Linked DNA regions of Drosophila melanogaster. The protein of the gene in region 3 interacts with the protein of the main gene of each other region in a pairwise test. Each region holds a gene or a part of one and is shown on either strand. Other genes may lie near its edges.

Region 1 (8,424 bases), on a different chromosome or scaffold from region 3:
CATTTATATAGCAATGATTTGGTGGATCATTTTCTCTAGCAACTGCTTCCATTTCAAAATCTTTTTGTGATTATTGTTTTTAAAAACCCATGCTCCAAATTACATAAATATAAATTTGTGCCTGGCAAATTTGTGACAACTGAGTCAAAGCAAACGCGACTTTTTATAATATTCTTAACACAGATCTTAGGTACAATAGTAATTTTATTTCTCGATTATATGAAAAGCAAGACATTTTCAGCGACTTAAATTTGAGGGCATATTAATTAATGACTAAGTTTCACCGTAACATAGTTCATGCCAGATTTTGATTGTTTTGCAGACACTTAGTGATTTATATTAAAACCATTCCAGCATTCCGTCCAAGAATTGCAAAACAGCGAACTACACACGCCGAGCATTTGACAGTTCCGGAAAAACGGCGGAAAATCGAAATTCGTAGCATTCGCCAGATGTGTGACATATGGCGGCATAATTTATGCGAAAATTGAACCGGATAGTGAGTGGAAACTTCGCGGTCCGTTGCCGCTGCATTTAAATTCTGACAATTGTTTGCATTGTCCTGGCAGCACGTCTGCGGCATTGTTTAATCCCGATTTTTCGACATCGATGGGGACCATCGACTGCTTGTTAATTGACCCACATTTGTGAGCTGAGTACATAATTAAAAGAAAATAAAGCGCGGGACGGTCCAAATAAACCCGCCGACAGGCGTTCGCACACATAACAATGACAATAATAATAAAAGTGAAGTTTCATAGCGAAATTACACACTCGAACAGAATTAAATAAAGAACTATTACGCAGTGGTGTAAAATAACCTGTTCTTGTTCTGAATAAAAAACAAGCGGGAGTGTTGCGTGGTAAAATATAATGAAATTTAAGTTTTTAAGACCATCTATAAAATATTTTTAAAGTACTATAATTATATGGTAATGCGTAGCAAAGTATTTCCGAAGCTTGTGGACACACCGTGCGCTTTTTACTTACCCAGTGAAATAACAACTAGCGGAAAATAATGCATATTAATAGCGACTTTTTCACATATTACACAACTGCCGACATTTATCAGGCATTAATAATTACGTGTTAATACGTGAAATATGATTAAATTTTTATCAGTTTACATGAATCACTTTCGCACGTTTGCGTGCGAACAAGGACATTTTATTGGCTTCATTTGGCGACGGACCGCAGAGAAACTGACGTTTGCCCAATCGGAATTACAATCGCAATGCCAGTGGTTCTGCGTCATTTGGCATCCTATATCCCTGTCCACAAAGCGAATCCTTTAGCCTGTCCATTTGCCTGCTGTGAGTGGAGGGGCGTAATACACTGCGTATACGTAATGGGGGTGCCCCAGCGTATACGCAATAAAAAGTGGTAAAGCCGAGCGATGGCACAAGGATAACCGCCTGCGCTGGCCATTAAATGCAACAATAAATTCGGCAGTTCAACTCCAGTCAACTTCGTTGGCATGCCCGAAATTTAATTAGTTGGCATTTAACATTAAGCATTTCCACTGGCGCCGCGGCTGTCATTGGGCTTTGTTTTCGTTTTGCTTTTTATGTTATTTTTCAGTTAATTAAACGCACGCCAACATCTCGCCATTCTAAATTGTGCGCAATTAAATTTGGAATTACTTTCAACTGAGTATTCGCGTAGCTCTCGCCAGCGGCGCGGCAATAACTTAACTTGAAATTTTATTGTAAGCCCCTGCCTTGCCAACTGTCACTTTTGATGGGCAGCCATTGGAGCGTAATTAGGCTACTACAACGCTCCTAAAAACCCCTACCCAAATTACCAACCCCTTCTCACTACTTGTGCCAAAAAGCTAACTTTAACTTTTCCAGCTTGGCAAGCCTTTAAGTTCGTACCTAACTTCGTTTGTCTGATGCTCGAAAGTGCACTGTCTGCCGGCTTCATTATGCAAAATGCAATGGTACACAAGCCGATGTGAAGAGGCTGCTTGTCTCCCTTATGAGTTGCACTGTTCAGACTTATCCTGGCCAGAATGGTATTTTTTTGGGCCCTGATGGTGCCCAAGCACTCACACATACACTGCATACACTGATGGCATTTTCATAATCGAGAAAAAAAGGTACCGAAAATGTATGTAATGCCAAATTATTAAGACCCAGAATGAGTAAAAATCTTGGAAAGAAAGAAAATTTCAAACTTCAACCCTATTAACTAACATTTATTACATAGAATTACAAAAATATATTGTATAATTATTCTCAAGGCAGGGCATGCCCACTGCGACTTGGATAAACAATAACAGAGATTCTCTTACACTCGTATATGTTTTTCATATCACCTGCGAAGAAAGCACACACACAGAATCGGTGTGTCATGAGTGAAAAAATAAAGGAGGTGAGCAGTTCGTGTCTGTCTGTGCCAAACGAGGTACGAGTGCAATATTTATATTATTGCAGCTACGGCGCCACATTGCAGCGACATGAAATGTTTGGCGTTGCATAAAAACCAAACTTAATGTGCACTCCCACGGGAATGAGGATGAGTTTATTGCTTTTGCGACTCGAGGTAACGCATTCTGTCCCGTTTGTGTCTTCTATGGGACTGAATGATTGTCACAATGAGTAACACCATGATCACGATCAGGATCACCACGCTGATGGCCGACATGCTCAAACTGACCGATTTGGAGGCCATTGCAAAGCTGCTAAAGAGGAAAATTAGTTCCATGGAATCTCCTAGCTTTGAAAATGAAACGCCGGTTAGGAAGTAGTAGGTAGAAGCGCAGTTAAACAGTATCATAATCAAAATCATGGCCACCAGCTGCAAAAATGGGATATTTAAATGTTCGAAATTAGACTTCACCTCCATTTGGCCGACCACCCACCACCAATCGCATGTGCAGACGGGTCCTGGAATAATTCGAGTGGTATAACCAGGTGCTCATGGCGTAAATCAGGCAAATGTAGGCAGTTCCCACGCAGACCACTTGATGGCCCAGCTGCTCATAACTGACGTGGAGGGGCAGGACGTTCCCAAACACCGACGCGTTCAGCACGGAAATGATCTGCGGAGCAGATGACTGGGGTGAGTCACAAGGTCAGATATTAGATGGCAGTCAGGTGCAACTAACCGCCGTGAGGAATAGCAATAACGATACGATTTCCTTGCGGGAGAGTAACATAATGGACGTAACTGGTAATTTAAAAATACTGCAACAGTTACTGATGTTTAACTCAAGGATTGATAAGTCATTTTCTACTACTCATTTTTAATGTGTATTATTCCAACAGGAATGATGGAGTAATTTTAGGTGCATCCGTTTGGTGAATTGCCAATCCCCTGCTGTTGTAGCTCTGTTCTCACTTCATATCCTTTCGAACAAGGTCGTGTTCCCGTCTTCCTAGATTGCCGGCCTATTTGATGAGCGCAAAATCATCGAGAACAAATTGAAATTTGCACCCATCGTGGAAGCTTATCTGCGCCACGCAGGCACTTGCAATGCCACCCATTCCACACAAATGGGAGCGGCAGGCAGCCGGCGCTAATTCATCAACAGTAAAGGCAATTTAGATACTCATCTACCGGATATCGACAGCCAGGCAGCCGGCAGAAGGCACAAGGCAGCCATGTAAGCAGATACCCTCGTCCTGTTCCGAGGACTCCAACCCATCCATTCCGGCGGCTGAGAGCAGCGCGGAGCGTTCTGCAGACAGGGTTTCATAAAATATTGATGGACGTGAAGTTGGCAGCGCATACTCGCTTCCTGTTCCGTGTCTGTCGCAGCCATAAATAATTTGCTGTAAATGCAATCGTGGGGTTACGTGGGGCATGGCATGGGCTACCCTGTGGTTCGAAGTGGGCGCTTTGGGTGCCAGTGGGTGGTGGGAGGTGGGTGGTCATCCGACGGTGGGGGCAGTGGTACGATGCTAATGGCAAGGCGCACGGTGCGAAAGTGTTTCGTATGAATTATTCGCCGGCAGCCAATTTGGAGTCACGTTTGCCAGCACAATTGAAACTGAACACCAACCATCGAACCACCGGCCATAGTGTCAATCCAGTGCTGGCGATTGCAGATAAGAATAAATAGCTATTTCAAAGGGAATCTCGAGTATATATAAAATGAAGAAAGCTTTGGTTATCTAGCTGAATGCAAGGATCGATTGTCTTATTAAAATTGATCAATAATTGTTAAAGACATAATCAGAATTTTTAGAGCAAATAAAGAAACGTGAGAATATTATAATTATTTTGTTAAAATTCAGTTTTATGGATATGGTAAATGTCTTACAAATATATTTGGCTTCTAATCTCTATACATAATATCCTTGATATTCTTAGCTAATAGCTAAGGAAAGTCTATTTCAACAGCACTGCCTTCCTGTTGTGAACCGCCTGTCGAAATGGTGTAATTTGTTATGTCTGCCACTGTAGCCGACCATGTCTATCTTCGGCCCGGGCTGCTTTTTAATAGCCATTCTCCTGCTGGCCGACTGTTGCTCGGCGGTTGTTGTGCCTTTATCGCCGGACTGCCTCCACTCCACCGTCGCCTACTCCTGCTCCTGCTCCTGAGTTCGTCCTGCGCCGGCAGGGTAATGTGTATTTAATGACGCCATCTCATGTACAATGCCCGTATCCGTTCTGCCATGATCCTGGCCTTGTCGACGGACACCGGTTGTCCTCCAGCGCCTAATGTCCAGTGACCGCAGCCATCTGCAGGATAATGCCCCGGCTCCTGGTCGACGGGTGCCAATAAAGCTGCGCCCGCTGGCAGGCATTTCAATTTCGTGCCTGCCCTGCTTTTTTCAATATTTTTAAACGGCAGCCATAAAACGTGAGCGGTAATGTGCGGACAAGGCTGTTTAATTGTACCCCTGCCCTCAGGGCAATCAGCAACTGTTTGTCTCAGATTACGATGGTAAGTCTCTCGATGTGTTTAAACAATAATTGAATTTAAGTACGTTCTCCAAACAATAGAATAGAAGCCCAGAAGAGCAATTCATATCTTGAAACCAGTGCACTGGCAAACTAGTTTGACATGTATGTTCGCCAAAAATTCTTAAATATTATATACTTAATGAGATACAATAGGGTTTTTGGTAATTTTGGGCAACCAAGACATACAGTATCTTTATAAAATCAAAAGGAAATTATGATAACTAAACTTTTATACACAGCTTCCATATCTAGTGATCTTTATTTTCTAGTCATTATCGCAATCTTATTATTATCACTCCGAATATCATCATATTTTTTTTGTGTACATTACTAATATATATTATCCCTAAATCCGTACAGGGCAACGATGAGTCTAAAGGATCTCAATCTGACCAAGGAGCAAATGATCAAGCTTCAGCAGTTGCTGGCACAGGAAATAGAGGACGAAAGCCAGCAGGAGCGGAATGAGCTATCAAACGATGATTTCATAGCCAATGCACTGGATAAAGTGCAAGTTTATGTGGAGGCTGGTAAGCCAGAGGCTTTTGTCCAGCTCAAAGAACCGCTATTATACAAATTTAAGATTACCTCAAATGGAGTAGCTACTGGATCTTCGGAATCGGATAAGTTTCAACGCGCAGACGCCAAGGAAATTGCTCGCTGGAAATCTGACCATGTAATAAATTTGGATTGCATTTCAGACGAGGACTACGAGCAGTTAAGCCAAATTCAAACCGATGAAAGTACTGGAGAAACCTACATGCTCGTGCCCATTGATATAAACATACTCATTGACGATACCGAAATAACTCCTGATACTTCCACAAAGCGTATCACCGAAAATGACGCCTACAATGCGACGGGAGCGGGACACACCATCTATATGCATCCCGAACAAGAGGGGCATCAGACTGGTTTAGATAGAAATCCTCAAGCTAAACACGCTTGCCCGGCTCCGCCAGAAGAGCAGACCAACTACGACTACCACATGCACACTTTCGAGGTGCCCAAGCTGAGTTTTCCCTTTGAACTCAAGTTTGGTATTGATACTGATCGATTGGTGGGTGGCAATGTGGATAAATCGGCTGAGGACTCGGGAAAATCAGATCACGACGACGATCTGGGGGTAGCTACCGAGCTTCAGGACGTCCTAGAGGATTTAGAGGTATAAAGATCATCTTGCTTTTTAACGCCATCAAGGAAATCATTTAGAACAACAAAATTTGTAACTAGCTTTCCAAGTTAGGTGCCTCTCGTTAACTAAATCTTTGTCTTAAATTATAAATATTTTATGAAATTATGTACAAGCTAAAATAATGCTACAGTATTTACAACTTTTTTTCGTGTAAGCATTCCCATTTCCTAAACGTAAGTAATGTGATTTAATTTAGTAGACCCAATCTAACCGATTCAATAAGCGTTCGAATTGCTGTTGCAGTAATAATAATGCTCTTAAAAGGGGTTGGTAAGTAGCCTACATGTTCAAATGCTTAACTAAATGGCACTTCCTCTCAAACAATTGCACCTAATTGCAGACACTTGACCTAAGCTGCATAACAATGACCGTCCACCCAATTAACCCCCCGATATCGGACTTATATATATATATATACATATCGACCAGCCCGCAATGCAATCTCATCCCCTGTTCAATACAATTTCCATTCAGCTTGCAGCACGGCAAAGAGAATATGATAAGAAGCAATGGAAAATTTGCATAAAGCTTTTAGCCTAACGACGCGACATTTGTTTTTTATGTGATTCATGGACCACCCTCACTTTATGTTCATTTTTTTCCATTTTCATCGCAGAATGCAACAACTACCAACTTCCGCACAATTATTCAGCAATTTTAAGCACAACAATCGGACGGCAGAAGGGGTCGAGCTGGGATCTGGCGGAGATCTGGTTGCATGCCTGATTGCCTGGGGGCCAAAAAGCTAGGTCCTTCGATTCCGACATCGACTTGGTCGCTTAAGCAGATTGAAACAATCTCCGGGCTGGGTAAGAGCTTATAGCCCTCATGGACAAAGGGGGGAGGAGGGTTTTCTTTGGCTTTTAACTTTCGCCGGGACTGCCATTATTATTATTCTCCGGCGTCTGCCTGCAACTGTCAGTTGGGTAATTTATAATGAAGTTTCCTTATTGACAGTGGCAGCTTCCCTTCGAATTCCTGGCTCCCGATTCACGATTCGCACTTCCGCTGCAGCGATTCTCCTGCAGTTGGGCATAAATTATGGATGCCTCTATATAATATATCGCCATAAATTGCTTGTCAAGTCGCGAGTCGACAGGCGAGCTAACTAAGATGCCGATGCCGATGCCGATGCCGGCAAACAAATAACAATCAAAATCACTTTTCGACCCCAAGTCGATTTATTTATATGGGACGAAATCTCGGTACTGAGGCCTTAATCGCTGAGGCCAGCCGCATCATGAGATCGTCAATCGTTTTGATTTATTGCTATTTTATTTGCGCATATCCTTATTTGCCTTGGCCGCAAACTTCGAACCCCAATCAAGGCCGAGACTATTTTATTGTTCGATAGCTTATCAGGCAAAGGCAAACAGACTGAGCGCCTTGGAGGCCGGCAAATATCATAATTTTCGCAGGACACGCTGCCCTGTGTTTGTGTTTGTGCTGGTTTCGTCCTGTCACAATGCCGTGCAAGGCATAAATCTGAATTAAATACCATTTTGAGCTGCTCGCAAGGAGTAGCTGGTCGGAGAAAATGTTTATATTCAGCACATTGTCACTTGTTGTGGCCTCTTTCTTGGACTCAACTCAACTCAACTCTGGGCCAGAAATTCCGCCGGGAATTGCTGCTCAGTGGCCCGGGCAAATAAATATTAATCATTGTGTAATAATTTTCTGCTGTCAGCTAAATTCAAGCAAAGTATTCATAATCCACAAGTAAGAACCGCTTTTGACAAATCGCTTTGCGGGCCACTCGCATAAATATTTATATTTATATTCCATGTAGGCCGGCAGTTAAAATGCTTTTAAAGTTGCCGAAAGTTGGGCGCCAGTTGCTGATTTGATTTTTTCAGCGATGTTTCCATTTGTTTTCTCGCCAACTTTCGGCAACTGTAAATCAGTTTGAGATCCTTTGATGTGTGTTTTGGGCTTGGGTTGCGAGAAACGAGATTGCAATAATCAAAATGTAATAAACAGAGGCTCTCACACATCCGCTTTCAACTGGTCGGGTCAAAACCAAAATGTTCTTTATGCACGGGTCCTTTGTACGTGATTGTGTGAGTGTGAGACCTTCTCATCTTGTCCTTTGTGTGTGTGGCTCTCAGCATTCGATGCACGTAACGCATTGTTTGAATTTCATGGCGACTTTATGAGTTTTGTAATCAGGTTTGTGAGCAAACAGACCCAAAAACACACACGCAGCCTAGCACTCACGTGTTAACCTGCACATAAATATTGTTTCTGGTCGTGGGCTCACCGATTCTCAGATGTGGGCGTGTTGACAAGCCGGCCGAGCAGCCAACCGCCCG
Region 2 (8,296 bases), on a different chromosome or scaffold from region 3:
ACTTTCCGCTCTTTTCATTATGGCAGCCAGAATCCGTGAAAAGCAACTGGCAGCAGCAGACGGAAAGTGGAACAAAAATTTCATTTGCTGCGCAACATTTCATTTAATTCATTTCTTGATTATTTTCATTATTGGTCACATTTTACGATTGTTGTTTTGCCTGCAAAAAGGCCCCTCTTTTTGAAAGGACCTCTTGGCATTTGCGGCATGCAGCCAAATTTAATATGCCCTTCGCTCAGTCCTCACTTTATTTTCCCCGACTTCCGCCCGTTGATGTTTTCTTTATGGCGGCATTTTATGTATTTATTTTCGGGGGATTGAAAGGGTTTTGGCCTCGCACGTAACTTCGCCAGATGTCCAATCTTGAGTGCCTAAATTATTTATTAGCCATCTTTTGCGACAGCTTACGACCTTATGAAATATTATATTCTTTGTGCCCAGCCAGCAATAACAAATGAAACATATGGCCCGGCAGGCGGCCAGTTTAGTGGGTCAGCTCATAAATTATTTGCCGGCTTGTGTGACCCACAGGTCAGGCATAAATCCAATCAAATTGACAGCAAGTCAACGCTGACAGGATCTACATACTCATTAGGCACTCTGAAATGCGCCTAGTCAGGGAAAATGTATATTCAATTTGCACAGTTTCGTTAATATACATGTGGGTAAAATAGAGAGAGGAAAATATATTTTGGTTAGCGGGAAATCATTAAAAATGTATACATTAGTTAAAATGAGTTTTTGCTGTTAAAAAACTAATGGAATTGCAGAGAATGGAGCGCAACTCGTTGCCTTTGGAATGACTCAGGGCTATTTGAATGTGCACACTTTCATTTAAATAACCATGAGCTTTTTGACATCAATTCCACCAGCACTTAAATTATTCATTTTCATTATTGTTTGCCATTTGCCCAATTAAATTGGCCACAAGCAGACTTTATGTTTATTCATAATTTATACATTGGATTTCACAATATTAAATGAAAGCCACTTGACTGCGTTGGTCAAAAGTCTAAATTGTATACGGCTGATTGGCTTGAATAGAGCTCAATGATCATTGGTGAAATTTGTCAAAACAATCGCAAAAACACGGTGGGGAATATATAACACAATTATTTTATTATTTTATCCATTTGTTAATCGAAATATATAGGCAGGCTGGTTGGCAGCGCGGGCTTTTGGTCTTGAAAATGCAGTCTGGCGGCAAATTGGTAGTTTATATCGTATGAAATTTATTTGGCCCGTAAAATGCAATCTCAATGCCAGCCGAAGGGAATTTCTGAATTTCTATCCTCCTGTTTGTTTTTTTGGGGGGCAACAAATTTGCCATATCTTAATGGAGAACAAAGACACATAGACCAGCTCACGGCTCTGTGGACTTGACTAAGGGAAGCCGAGCAAATATTTATTTGGACTTTTGTGTCCGCCAGTGGGAGGAATATTACTTATCCTTGCTACCCAGGACCTCCATTTGCACCTGAACACTGGCTGGGCAAATGCAGCTGAGGCTGCAGCACTTAATGTTTATTTTAATTGAATTGTTTCTGGGCGAACTTAGCCATGGCCCAGTGGAGACTAAAAGTTGTAAATTAGCAGCTAATTGTATATGCAAATTAAATTGCACTGCCTCTGCATGTGGCACTTAAATCATAATTTAGGCGTATTTAATATTTATTTGAATTTGCTTCTCCAAAAACATGGTATCTGGGCAACAGAGTGGATTTAATTGTATTCATATAATTTTTATTAAGACTGACTACTAATATTTTCAACTCATTAACCACCAATGTGTAAGCCGTAGCAAATTCTCCTTTCAGCCTTGTGTAAATTTTGGCCAAGTTGATTTGCATGAGTGGAAAGGCCAATTAAACAGACACACTGTTGGGAGAATTAACAAAGCGTCATAAGCTGACCCACACAAGCAAGTTGGCAAACAATGGCAAATGCGCAAACAGAAACATATTGGTCAAGTTGAAGGCTCAACCACGCCCCCATTCCGCCGGGCGACAGTTAATAGATTTATGCAATTGATGTTCCCTGACTGCGATAAACTCAACAAAGTGGCATAAAGCTCGGGTAATTTCCGCCGCCTGATGGACGGAGGACTCGCCGGGCGGAAGGACCTCGAAACGTCCATCAAAAACTGCGACCAGAACTGTACTGATAAGATATGAAAAGCAATTTACGTTAGCTGTCAGCGACAAATGCGCCCTCGTTTCGATTTATTTGCACATTTCATTTAACGACGATTACGTTCATTGACACTTTAAAGCCGTCGCTAATTAATGCGCCTGATTATGTGGTCGAAGAATATGACATATCCATAAATGGGCGAGAAATACGTTTTGCGGCTGACATTTTTCGAGTGCTCGCAATCGCAGGAGGCGTTCACACAGAATATTTTGTGATCGCCAACATGCTTTAGCAGCAGACTGTGGGGCCTCTTGTTCAACACCCGGAAATTGTCGCTGTTGTTGAAGGACACACGATTCTGGTGCCAGTCGAAGTAGCTGAGATGCAGATTCGATGGCCTCAGCTTCGTTCTGCCCTCGAAAATGGCCCGCCAGTCTACGCAGCTTGTAGAGTTCTCGAATCGCGACTCGCGCAGACTCTGCTCCAGGTCCAGAAAGCTGGAGATCTCTAGACCCTTCTTCGAACGCATCACCAGGTAGACGACGGTCTAAAAATTACAAAATGTACACATTTCACTACACATAAATGTAACCTTCTAACCGAAATTTGCTTTTCGAGCAGCTTCTTCTCTCGATTGGCAAACTGTTGGAGCACCTCATCTTTGTTGTTCAAGTAGTCTCCAAAAAGTTGGAGTCCTCGTAGTCCCCTTGGCTTTAGAAGCACCAACTCTTTCTCCTTCCGCTGGTAGAATTGCTCGCGGGTGAGCAGATTACCCAGGCAATTCTTACCGCAGGCATTCTGGATCAGGTTCCTCTGGATCTCTTTGTTGCCCAAATAGCGAGTGTCCTGGATGGTTATGAAGCTGTCTACATAGTCCTGGTAATGATTAAAGTTAATCAGATTCATTCCGCGCGAAACTCAAAAAACTAAAACTGAAAAGCTGCTGAATGGCAAGAAAACTGTGATTTCGTGTAAATCAAAATGTATAATATTTTGAATAAGTTCGAGCAAAATACATTACTGACAACAAACTGCCAACTTTGGCTCAAAAGGCAAAACTTTTGCTGGGCCTGAAGAAGCAGAGTTGTTCTCATATTCAATTTCGAATGAAAGTAGCTGAGCACAAAAAATATTCCTTCTAATTTTCGAAACTCGTGAAAAAGTCTTATCTTAATTGAAATTTGTTTGAGAAACTGATAGCCGGAATGGTTTGTAACAATTTGTAACAGCTTTAATTTCATGTGCGCACAAATAATTAAACATTTCCCACATAGAGTTCCCTTGGCAGAATCCGCTGCGCTGTTCGTGTGGCAAATTTAATAAATGGAAAAAGTTTCACAATGCCCAAGCCCCGACTGTGCCCTTGTCCCTTTTAGCCCAGAACTGTGAGTATTTTCAATTACACTTCCCTATGTGCCACGCCCTCTCCCGCCGCCCATCAGGGGCATTTCGCATATTAAACTAATTACTTCATCAACATTTTAAACTGCCAGCCAGCCAAAGGGAAAATTTGCATTTTCAGCCTGTGCGTATGCAGCGCTCTTTGTCCTTTTCCGCCTGATATCCCGTTGAGCGCACACTGTCGAGGATTAGCAGTCTAACAAGTGACACCTAGTGTTCCGCACATCGCCCTATGAATCCCAAGGACTTTCAGATCAGATCAGATTTACACATAAACGGTAACCAGTTGATGAACTTGCAACGAATAGTTTATAGTCAACTAAAAAATGTACCCAAGTCTATGAAATTGTACAGGATACTGTAACCTGCCTTAAAAATAAATCACTTTCAAAGTTCCTTTCGCCATTTGAGATTAATCACCAGGTAAACCAATTAAAACAATGCCAACAGCCGCTGCTAATCAGCCATAATTTATATATCAAATAGGGTGTGTAAGATGTCCTGCACTTCCTGGCAGATTTCCAGCTCGCTTTTCAATTTCCACACACAATACGCAGCTAGATTTTCCCCTTGCCTGCGTGAAGGTGTGTGTCTGTGTGAATTTACGCTATTTAGACACGCTTTCCCACTGTTTGCAGTTGTTGCTGTCGTCGCTGCAGCAATTAACATGCAGCCGCTGCCGACACTTGGAGCTCAGTGCTCCTCCACGTGCAGATCCCCCTCCATAGTTTTCCTCTGCATTTTCCCAAGCCTTCTCACAATTTCCCTTCCCTCCCCCCTCTCCATCACTTTGGGGCAACAACTGCTGTTCCGTTTTGCATGCTTTGTCACCATCTTGCCGCTTGCCGCCGTCTTGAGCGCGTAAATTGCTACTTCGTGGGCCAATCCTCCTGCTCCCCGCTGAAGTCACGACATACCCACTTCCCGCCAGTCTACTGGCAGGACCTACAGGACCGCCAGGACTGCCAGGACTCGCATTTCGCCCGCTGCGTCTTGGCCGTGGCCATTGTTTGACTTGGTCATTAGTAAATGTACTTTGTCGCAGCATAAAAAGGAGTTAAGTGCGCACTCTAAGGATTTATGTGCATTACCAAAGAATGAGGCGGCAATGCTCAATGCTGCCTCGGGAAAGTCGAGGCTGCTTTTGCCATGTGTTAAGTGCACATTTCTGATGAATGAGTCGGCTGGCTGCAACTGCATTTCAATTGCAGAAAGTGCTGAATGGACTGAGGGCTGGAATTTATAGTTGAGCAGTTGCCGTCATTATCGCACAGGGCATGCCAATCATCCACTTGAGCAGTTGCATAGATTGAAGTTATCAGAGAACTTCTAGATATGTAAATCATATTTTTTCAAGCATTCATACATTTCGAGCATGACAATGGACATGATTGCCGAAAAGCGTAGAAAAGCATACTGCTTGCATGTGCAAGTCAACCAGGAAGGGGTTTTTATAATTCCTATTTTGATTTCATTTTGCAGACCCCTAACTACGAAACTCCCAGATTTTCTGTGTAATCCCATCGCCACTCTGGAGTGCAATTTCCTTATTATAATGACGCTTGGCAGTGGTAGTAGTGCCACATGTCCGGCAAATAAATGGCTTACAGCCACGAGTCCTTTGAACTGTTGGCAAATGCTAACACAAATTATCAAGTTACCATAAATTGCCCTCGCCCGGGCCGTACATCTAGCCAATGAAATCAAAGCCACATAAATTGCGCAAATAATTCTGCCCTCTCTCGGCATTCTCCACTTTTCTCCAGGGAAAATGGAGCCCAACGAAACGCAGCCAAGACAAAGGACGGACCAAAAGAATCATCACTTACAACTGACCACAAAGCTCCACAGCCACATCCATAGCCCGTCCATTCCACATCCACGTCCGCATCCACATCCACATCCCTTGGGAGCGGTGGTCCCGCAATCGATCAAAAGGAATTATGTCTCAACACAATTGTAAATAAATCTTTGCGGCCATGTGGACATCATGTGCATGCCGAGGTCCTGGCCGAAGGATTTGCCCAAGCGGGCAAAAGGGAACTGGGCAAGATGGGACAGCCTCAAATCCTGCATATCATAGACACTGGGTATATGAAGATTGAGTGGTAATGTGTGCAAATCTAAAGCTTTCCTCCCCAGTATGCCCCGATTTTGCCTAATGCGGCTGCTTCGATTGCTGTCCATCCGTTGACATGTTGGTAAATTGCTCCTTAGCTGATTGCATCGATTTTGGGGACTGGGTCTTAGACAGAAACTGGGGAATTAAGTGTAAATGCCGGAAATTAATCTGCTCAAAGGGAGACAAAAGCAGCAATGGGCCCGAGCCCAAATGCAATATTATTCAAAGTGATTTTACAAGTGCCGTTGGCGGCAGTAGGAAATCGCCCCGTTGTCCGGTTCCTTTTCAGAGGCCGAATACTTATAATGCGCATCGATAATGATTTGTAATTTAAAGCTCAAACAAATTTCCGGCAATTTTTGCGGCAGACACGCGCCAAGCATTTTCAACCTCCTTCCACACCGCCAGCGTCATCTTGTTTACTTTTCATCTGCCGGGAAAAACAACTTGAAGGCTGTGTAAAAAACCGAACTTATCGGCGTAATCATTGGGCCAAGGAAAAGAACATTAATTTGTTTTCTTGTAAACTGCCGTGCCGAGGGCTTTGTGTAATCAACACGAACGTGAGCATCTTCAATGGCTCGCATTCGGTTTGTTTGGCTTGGTTTGTTTGGGAAACTTCCCAACCGGAAATTCGATAGCAGGAAATGTGAAATGGCCGTTAATGGCGTACACAGTGCGTATGCGTAATGGTTCGGGTATCAGACAGGAATAACTAGCCGCTTTGCGGAGAGTCCTTTAAAGAGTCGTATTAAATCTCATTAACGTGAAAATTAATCAGCTCTCACTACAAATTAATATTCTTGTTTTAGTTTATTAATTCATTATTTACTCGATTTACATTTTTTTATCATTCATTGTGACCATAAAAACGATATGAATATCGTTTCGAATATTTGTCAAAGACTACTTTATTGCTTCCCCATTGATGATTTAAAGTGCCTGTTGATTTATATGGTTAAATAAATAGCGATGTATCATCTTTCCCATTAAACAAAAGTTTATGCAATTAAATGTAATTGTTATTAACCATGCTGCGTAATATTTACATATTTTAAGAACTTTGAAATTGTTTCCCTTTCTTTAAGGTAAGCAACCATTATGAGGCATTATCCAGCTTTCCGGTAAACAGGCCTGTTGGCGATTACCAGTAATAGCAGCACATGTTGATGGAACATTAGAGCACATAACTTGGGGCGGCTGGAGGAAGTGGGAGTGGCACTTCATCCAACATCTGCTGCCGCTTCCTCAGTCGCTTGTCATGTCTATTGTTAGTCGCCCGATGTTGCCTGTTTCTCGTCATGTCGCCCATTAAAATCGTGTACACCATATGCCAGCCATATTAATTTTTTGCCACCCGGAAGTCGGAAGTGTAGGAGCCACGCCCATCGCCCATCGCCCAACGCCCAATGCCCCCCGCCCCAATTGATAGGCAGTTTGCTGGCGATTACGTGGCGCTGTTGCCGGCGACACATGAGACGTGGATGCGCTTACGTGGTTATGGTTATCGTGCTTACGTAATTTCCTTTCATAATGGACATTGTTGTCGTACAGCCAATTAAATCGAATTGCTTGCTGCCCAAAAAGGATTATGGCCAATTGAGTCTCCAGCAATCTGCTTAAAATGTATTCACTTTGTATTGGTATGCAGACATTAATAGGTATTTGTAGAGCGGATTAAACGTAAGAGTGTTTCACATGAAACGATCAGAGATCATCTGTGAATTTCATTAAAACGAATCACGTCGCTTCATTTTTACGGCTTTCCCTTGGGCAGCTTAAAGACTTGCTCCAACTCAAATGAATCATCTTTACTGCATGAGCGGAGAGCTTTCGTTGTAAGATGTTTTATTTTTGGAAAAATAATTTACAAGTTCTTTACAAACATAACCCAGCCACATCATTAAAATCTGCTCTGGCACCAAGAAAAGTTATCTGCCCGCAAGTTTGCTGCTCCCTAACGCTTTCGTAATGACTGACCAACATCACAGTCGTCGGTCGGACGAGCTGGAAAATCCTTGCAGTTAACCGCACACAATTTTGTTATTTTTGCGGCGGACGAGCGATGTATCCAACTTGACGGGGGAAACCCACAGCAGCGAGGGGCATTTTTCCGTTTGCTGTCAGTGGCTCATTTGGCTGCTGAAAAGGCCAGAAGTCTGGACGAACTGGGACGAACTGGCAGTAGGGGATGCAGACTGGCCGGGACGAGGGAGCGGATCATCCGCATCCTTTGGCCGCAGTTTATTTTTCGGGGGGAAAACAAAAAGTGAATAAGTTGCTGGCAGTGTTTGCTTGAGACTGCAAAAATGGCCTGCAACTATCCCCGGAGAAGTGTTGTTATCAAAGCCATGTGGCACGGATGGGGGGTGGTATCCTTCTAATCCCAGTTTACAAGCTTATTTCCATACATGTATGAATTTCTCCGAGGCATAACTCAATTTGAGTCCGCTCACAGCAAGGATAATCATGTGAGTCACGATCTCTGGAGAATTTCCCCCGTCTCGCAGGGCCTGTGGAAAATACGATTTTAATCATATTCCCAGACAAGAAGAGATTGCTGCCTCTGCACTGGGTCTTAATAATGGCCAAAAGCGTTTTAACAAAATTGAAAACTCGTGCAAATAATTTGCATAATAT
Region 3 (8,309 bases):
AAAAACTCCAAACTGCATTCGCTGATTAAGTATTTCGTTGGTCATGAACGGCGGTCACACTGTCCGAAATTTAAATTTTAAACTTGACCCCACTATACATTTGTACATGGGCTAATGGAAAAAATTAAAAGAATATTTAAATCTGTGTTGAAATATGCTTTTGGTAGCTGACAACGTATTGAGCCGCATCCTTAAAAATTAGCAGTCCTGATAATAGAATCAGCGATAAGTTTGTGAGATGGTCTAAGCTTAAAACTTATTTTATCCTTAATCATTAAATAACGACTGAGAGTAATATTCAACAAAACACTTCCGATTTTTCAATGTTGCATACCACAATTATCAACATCTAATTTTTTCTTATTGCATTTGATTTTTAGAGGCCTCGAAACGGAAATGGAAAAATCTAAGGGACAGTTATACAAAGTATCTTCGCTCGTTTCGCGTAGGCACAAAGACATCCAAGAAGTACCAGTACTGGGCCCATGCAGATCACATGGATTTCCTAAAGCCCTTCCAGGGACCGGGCAGGTGAGTACTCCACATTGCAGCTCATTTGTACAATCGCCGAACTGATCATCTGTTTTAGGAACTCCGCGAATGGCAATGGAAAATCCAACGACGAGGACGACACAGAGTGTGATTTTGGCTACCAAGTTTTGGCCAAGGCGGCCAGCAATGGAGGCGAGGATGAGCTGAAGATAACCATTGCCACTGCATCGGCTGGTTGCTCATCCATGGGGACGCACACGGTTAATACCTATACTACCGCTTTAAGCAGTACTTCGGCGTCCGGCATAACATCAAGTTTGGGCGCGACCACGCCCCCGAATATGATCTCTCCAGGCAGCAATTTGGGCGGAACAGGAGGAGGTTCTGGGTCCGTGGGACCGCAAATCCACAACAGCAATAGCAACGGCAGTGCAACCGGAAGTCTAAACTGTGCTGCAGTGGCACCGCTCAGTTCGATGACTCCACCTGCCACCAGTGGCAGTAATTCCGCCGTAGTCTTGCCCCTGCCCATCTCACCCGCATCCTCAGTCGCTGCCGCAGCTGCTGCTGTCAGCAAGGCCAATGCAAATGCCCTGGCCTCTCTGGCTAACCATCTGCCCATGGGCTTGGGCGTGAGCGGACTGGCCCAGCAGATGTTCCCGCTAGCCACGCTCAAGGCGGCGGCAGTGGCTGCTGGTCTTCCCCTGCCACCTACGATCACGCCGCCTGGTTGCAGCACCGGCAGCGCAACCAACAGCAATGTCGGTTGTCTGATCATCGAGCCGCATCTCTTTGCGGCGGCGGACAACTTCAAGAAGGAACTGACAGCGGCTGCGGCAGCTGGAGCACCTTTGGGATTGTTCCAGAACCTGGCCAACCAAGTGCAGAACGCCAATCGTTTGAACGGCAGCTGCCCGAGCTTACCCATGGGTAATCCCACTCCTCCGCCGCCGCCGCCAGCGCCACCAGCCTCCAAGGTGCGAAGGGTACAACCTTCGCCGCAAACCACGGCCATCAACCTAAGTTGCTCCGGAGGGAATTCCGTACAAACGCAGCAGCAGCAGTCAATGCAAATGCCACAAATTCAACAGCAACAACAGCCGTCGCCCGCCAAAACGCGTAAGATTTGCGATCCGCGTTTTCCGAGCGATTGGGACGTCTCTGCCGTGCTACAGGCCAACAGAGAACTTGACGCAAACACTCTTTTCTTCTTGAGTCTGGCGCGGCAGGTGCGAGCTATGCCCATGAAATTCCAGTCGCTCGCCAAGATGCGTTGCATGCGAATCGTCAGTGATTTGGAGCTAGAGCTGGAGAACTTTGATTGCAACGGTGGAGCGCCACCGCCGGATGATTCAGGCGGAGGAGGAGCTGGGAATCTCAAGTACTGCAGCATAGATACTCCGCCACCGCCGCCGCAGGACGGCTCCGTGGTCATACCCCCGCCGCCAGTCGGCCCCGAGGGCTCCACGGAGCACTTTGTGTATGTGATGTCGCCGTCGCGTGTGGAGAGCATGATAGACATCTCCTCCGACGAGGAGGCGACCATGAATGGAGCGCCCTCCACGGGCCAGGTTTAAGCGTATTCGTACAAGTTATCTCTAAATTAAAATTAAATTAATCTCAACTAGGTTCCTTCGGTTGGTCTTTCAATCAGTTTATTTTGGAGCGGCGGGTGATCCGATGCTTAGGTGTACAAAATGTGGAAAAATCTCCGGGACCCGGCAATTTGATGGTACATGACTTTAGTGCGAATGAATTTCATTCAAAATCTCGATGACGAAGGCATCCTCTACTTAGGACTGCACCTTGCCCTTGGTGGTGAAGGCGAAGTATGCGAATCCGCCGACCAAGAAGGCGGCCAAAAGCTCAGCCTTGATCCAGGGACCCTTGTAGGCACCCTTGGTGGGCACGGAAATGTCGAGCAGCGACTTCACCGATGAAACCTTGTCGCCATCCCGCTGGGCCTTGCGCACATTGGCATAGCCATCCTCGTCGAAGAGACGCACCTGAACATTGCCGCTGCTGCCCTGCTTGATATCCTCCACCCAGCTCACCTAGTGCAGAACAGAGATTAGCCTTTGCACAAAACTTGACGGGGCTACTACTGGCTCACCTGGTACTTGTTGTCGCCCACCTTGGCCACCGGCACCACCTTGCCGCAGGGGAACTCGGCGAACAGGCTGGCGGGAGCGGCTCCGCTGCACTGCAGCGTGAACTCGCCCACATGGGCCAGCTGGGTCAGAATCGTGGCATCCTGGGTGCTGAAAGAGCTCACGGTGGCCTTGCAGCTACCGTAGACGCCGGACGCACAAACGGCGGCAATCAGGCAAATGGCGAACAGTTGACGGGACATCTTGATCAAGTTATGAGGTGGTTTTTATTTAGTAATCAATGGAATAGGCGGAACTCTACGGCTATCCAACTCGGCGACCTGCGACTTTCTTTCTCTCTGGAAGCGAACGCCACGACAGCACCATACATACGTCACGTCACTTGACAGCTACGAAAATTGCCGAAGTCGTACCAGTTCGATGGTCACACTGGTCGTGACCAGGGATGGCAACGCTCAGTCGAGAATAGCTACAAAATAGCTAGTAGCCCGTGGTAAATTTTTCCGATTTTTTACTTGTTATATCTAAAAATACAGTTTTAGAAAGCGGTTTTTTGTAGTTTCCTAATGACATCTATATGTTAAGATTTCTCCGGGAATGTTTGTCGTTCGAATATGATAGCAATTAGTACGTATACGTAAATGTTATAAAATTCATATAAAATTTGTATATACAAGTATTAAAAATAAGTGCGTATACATAAAAAATATAAAAATATGGGATTCATTTTATTTGGAATAAAGTTATTACTAATGATGTCAGTCCTGTCAAAATAAATCTTTCCTAATTATAGGGGCATTGAGATATGTAGACTTAATTTCCTCCCATATCAATTCAATTTCTAGCGATTTCAATTTCAAATATATAATTTGAAAATATCGAATTTTAAATAAAAAACAATTATATTAAAGTTAAATATTAATAAATTAAATTAAATTTATAAATAAAAATATAATGACAAATAGAATTCTTCACCAACAGGTTAAATTTTTGTAGTCTTACTTTGATTAAAAGACTAAAATTCTTATTAAATTATATTTATACAAAATTGTAATGTTTTAAGGAAAAATTGCTCAGCTATGATCGAGTACCGAATGCAATCCATCACTTTGGAGGATTCTGCTTTAGATCGCTATTGCGCTGATATTAAAAACATCAAAGTGAACTTTGATCAAATTGGTGGCTTAATTTGTACTTAGGCAAATACCCAAAGTTCCTTGTCTAAAACGTCTTTGAGGGGATTCCTTTTGCAATACATTTACGTTGGGCTGACTTCATTTAAAATATGTATGTAAGTATCTATTTAATTTAAAGTCAATAGATAAAGTCCAGGCCGTTCCAGTCACAGTAATTTCGTACCGACTGCATTTCTAATTAAAATAAGTTTTCGTCTGACAGTTTTGCTATGGTACCGTTCTGTGATCGGTTACGACTAAGTCCAATATTTATGGCACTTCGATTGCAATTGATTTCGAATTGCAGCAGTGTCAGAGGAAACGGGAGTCCTGTCCAATCGTTGGGGGAGTCTTCAAAGTCGGGCCATAAGCACCGAGTATTGACTGGTGGCAGTGATTAATGCCCATCCAACTGGAATGGGGCTTTCAGCTTTGTTTTAAGTACATTTTATTGGCAATCGGAAAATCGGATACTATCGTATAAATACTTTGGCTAACAGGCATACGAATGTATGCGGATGTGACCTTGAAGTGGGCCTGATTTGGTTTTGCTTTTTTTGTTTACGGTTTTATGCCATTTTGTGTTTGTGTTTGCCGCCACCGTTCGAATCGGCTCCATTTTGCTATGTTCGTTACTTTCCTTTGATTGCCACCGCGCACGGAACTTTTCCACCGAACTTTGCATGTCTTTGATGAATTTGAAATTGTCACAAATGTGAAAGTTTTTCACTTGCCATCCCATCCGGTTGCCCATCCGCAGATACAGATACTCATACTCATACTAATACCGGCAACAACTGAATTTGCATCTAACATTTTGCTGACATTGAGCGACTTGTACGCATTTCTCCTTCCTCCTCCTCCCCTCTTCTCACCACTCTGCCAGCCTTTTTCCTGCTTCTTTTTTTTGGCTACTATTCATTCATTCATGGCCGGATTTGCATATTTGCCAAAAATGCCGTAATCCTTTCGATTAAGAGGCGTTCGGTGGGTGATTCGCAAATGAAAACAAAAGTTCGTGCGGGTTCATTGAGTCGCAGTCGAAAACTTGCCAGACCCACCGGAATTGCACGTGTCTTTGGGGGAGGAGTGGGTTGATCCGGGGTTGGCAGGTGGATCGACGGATGCATTGGGCAAAATAAAGTGCACTCTGACCGGAAACGAAATTGGTACTTAGATTGCAAACATAGAAGCAGGCGCGATTGTGTATAAGCCAAATTTTGGCGTTCTATATTCTACAATATTTTAATTTTGGGAGTTTTTCAACAACTCGCAAAAATAAATATTACAATAAACCTAAGTTTTTAAAAGTTTTTCATATAAAAAACGAACCAATTATTAACAGGATACATTTACTAATCGAGTATAATAGCTCATTTGTAAGGGACATTACCTTTTTTAATTTTTCCTAGATCACTCCAATTTCTTTCAGTGTGCTTCGGTGGATGGTTGTCTGACGTGTGGGTGTGAGCAGGAAATGGAACAAAGAACCGAACTGTAAGGAGAGCCTGAGCCAGCATAACAGGCGACTCCTTGCCAACGTTGCGATTTTGTTGATTGTTTGTTGGCAACATAAACGAACCTCCCCCCCCCACCCAAAAAAAAACCGATTCCGATTCCGATTCCGGTTCGGAGTCCGAAATTCTTCATTCACAAAACGCAGTCGGTGCAGGGCATTCGAGCCAAGTGGACGTGGAAGCCACCTCGATCTCGGCCAGACGGGGATCGCATTTGCAAAGTGGCTTTCGCTTTCGTGACGGATCACGGTTCACGGTTGGCGGCTCGTTGGTGCCTCGCTTGTGGGTTTCCATTTCAGACCGTCAGCTTTGTTGACAAAGTTATTGCCTCCGGCTTAATGACTTCGTAATTGATTTGCATTCGATGTGCCACATTGATTGGCAATTGAAACGTAAGGCACCCTTCTTGCAACTCCGGCCCAAAAGCTCTTCACCATCGAGGGCTCACTCCATTTCGGTAACCGCTCATTGTCACCGTTGCTAATCAAGGTTATCAAGGATAAACTGGCTGTCACTATGTCGCTGTCTGTGGCCAGCCGTCGTCGCCTCCAGACGACAAACGCATCATCGTCCGTGGTGAACCCATCCTCATCCACTTCCGGCGGGCGCTATCACCTGCCGCTGTCCGTGCGGAAGCAGCACTCCTTCATCGAGCCCACGTCCAGATTTTCGACCCAGCAGAGAGGCTACCTCTCCAGAGGTCTCTCCGTGGGCCGATCCATCGAGAACATCCGCCAGAAGCTCTATCCCGTGGGCAGGCAGGCATCTCTGGCCGTCGAGGAGACCGCGCCGCGTACTGCACCCCGCATCACGGCGTCACAGGTGCAGGGCTTACGGCTGAGGGACAGAAGTCTGGTGGCCTGGTCTTCAACTTCGTCTTTGCTAAAGGATCAGGAGTCGGAAAGGGCTGCACAGGTGGAACAGCCCGAGGCGAAAATGTGAGTACTGCAACTGGATGATATGCTCAATATCACATCAGTTATATCACATCAGTTATTTTCTAATAGATGATTTCTAAAGGCAAGGGTTTAAGTAAGGGTTTGCCTATTGCTTTCCTGAAGTGTCGAAAGGTATTGTCGCACCTATGGAAACCCATCGGGTATTCTATTGTTTGACCTTGCTGCGTATTGGGTACCACTCACTGCATGCGTATACGTAATAAGCCCTATGAATCCAGCCGTAAATGCTGTCCTGATATCATCTATATAAATATGCCGAAAGTGACACTTTCGATATGGGCGTCGCGTCAAGTTGTATGTGCAATTTGCATGCTTCACGCCCAAATCAAACGTCAAAGTTTTATGTTCCAGTGCATAACACACGCTAGACATGCTCGAAGTAGGGAGCCAATGGAAGGAGCCGGCAACTCCCACGCAAAACATCGCCCACCGCCCATCGGCGGCACACTTAAGTCGATCATTGGCTCGAAACGCTGACAAGATAGCTGGCTGAAAAGCGGAAAACTTGCCTGATAGCAGCAGAGGCGGCGGGTTCAACGGCCGCCAGATTCGTCGACTCACTTTCATCGGTCGGCATTTCGGGCGCCAATTGGCAACGTAATTGACATGGTTTCCTTTCACCCGAGCGCGGTGGGTGTGGCGGAACCCAACACCCAAGTTAATTTCTATTTCTGTGCCTTGCATGATTCGGAATCGAGAACAGCATAAATTGCCCCGCAACTAATGCCAAATAATTTGATTTAAATTTAGCCGGGTGGCGGGAGTAGGTCACTCGAAACTTTCCATTTTCATTTCCCACTTTCCTCATGCATTTCCATTTCCATTTCGATTTCGATATCCTCAAACGTTACATTCTGTAGCTACAATATTCATTATACGTTTGCAGCAGCGCCAAGGCGGACAAGAATCGCATTAATCTGAATATAGTGCTGTCGCAGACCATAAGGGCCACCAACGAGAGAGAGCAGGAACCGGAAGTGGACGCGGACGCGGACCTGGAAGCGGAGCGAGCCAGCGATATCGAGGGCAGCCATCCGGTTGAGAACCCGGACATCCAATTGAGCATCTCGCCGGCGCTGACCGTCCAGCGGCGTCCGCCTTTGGTGCGTGCTATGTCCGCTCCGGTCCGCGGACTGGACGAGAGCAGCAAGGGCGTCATAGCCGCCAGCAAGCGCAGCCAGCAGAAATTGCGTCGACGCAAGATCTTCACGAGAACGCCCTCGTCCTCCGTACCGCTCGATGTCATCGGGGACAACTCTACGTCCTCGTCCTCCGTCGCCGGAAACGCATCCAAGAAGGCTTTGAATCGGGCACGCAGCGTCGTTGCACCCGATGTGATTACCCTGGTGTCCCTGTTGAGTTCCGAGGGCAGCGACTCCGAGCGGGAGGATAACAGTTCAGTGGCGGTATCATCGCCGCCAACTGGCGGGTCGGATAAACAAACATCGGGCGCCTCGCAGCGAAGGGCGCCTTTGTTGAGGAAGACGGGCAAATCGGGTAAGTGCCAAGATCTGCTTTGCCAACCGGTTGGGTTATCGGGTTAAAAACTGCGCTCAACACATTATCCGGCTGCAAAATATTTCATAGCATACTTATTTGCAAATCCATTTCCGCCGTTAATATAGTAATAAATACTATATTTTGCTTGTATTTTTACTTAACATTTCTGGCTCACATGTTTCAAGTTAAAATCATAGAAATTGCAATACTTGCATTTCAAAGCCTATAAACTAACCAACTTCAATCATAGATTCGATTTTCCATTGCACTCTAAAACCATTGAAACCGAACTAAAGCTTTCTGGCAGTCTCGTTTCAAGACAGCTATCCGCCCACCTTCCAACTGGCCTCCAAGGAGTACTCGCACATGATACGCCGCGGTTCGATAGCACCTCTGGCAGCCCGAATCCGAGCCAATCGACCGCCCACAGCGCCGCCAGTTTCTATTTTCCTAACCGACGTCCAGGCCAAAATGGACCAGCAGCCGAAGAAGGAGGGTGGAGCTGACCCACCCGTTGTCACCTTATCGCCGGACGAGGCCAAGAAGGAGAACAAT

The links. Proteins that work in one complex are often made in the same cells at the same time.
Region 1: the proteins of Tapdelta (region 3) and CG14380 interact in a two-hybrid assay, tested with the Drosophila melanogaster proteins (one large-scale study listed by BioGRID).
Region 2: the proteins of Tapdelta (region 3) and CG3528 interact in a two-hybrid assay, tested with the Drosophila melanogaster proteins (one large-scale study listed by BioGRID).

Annotation. Positions count from the first base shown.
Region 1 is NT_033777.3:13,183,329-13,191,752, reverse strand, and holds CG14380 (uncharacterized protein), read right to left. Parts: upstream 3,235-8,424; 5' UTR 3,164-3,234; coding exon 3,113-3,163; intron 3,047-3,112; coding exon 2,867-3,046; intron 2,803-2,866; coding exon 2,527-2,802; 3' UTR 2,185-2,526; downstream 1-2,184. Other genes in the region: CG8141 (uncharacterized protein), read right to left, coding at 1-52; CG8508 (uncharacterized protein), read left to right, coding at 5,285-6,088.
Region 2 is NT_033779.5:2,514,918-2,523,213, forward strand, and holds CG3528 (uncharacterized protein), read right to left. Parts: upstream 3,121-8,296; 5' UTR 3,040-3,120; coding exon 2,734-3,039; intron 2,681-2,733; coding exon 2,279-2,680; 3' UTR 2,185-2,278; downstream 1-2,184.
Region 3 is NT_033778.4:11,368,168-11,376,476, forward strand, and holds Tapdelta (Translocon-associated protein delta), read right to left. Parts: upstream 3,169-8,309; 5' UTR 2,846-3,168; coding exon 2,606-2,845; intron 2,547-2,605; coding exon 2,286-2,546; 3' UTR 2,133-2,285; downstream 1-2,132. Other genes in the region: CG13204 (uncharacterized protein), read left to right, coding at 381-531, 590-2,069; CG13203 (uncharacterized protein), read left to right, coding at 5,812-6,233, 7,141-7,751, 8,062-8,309.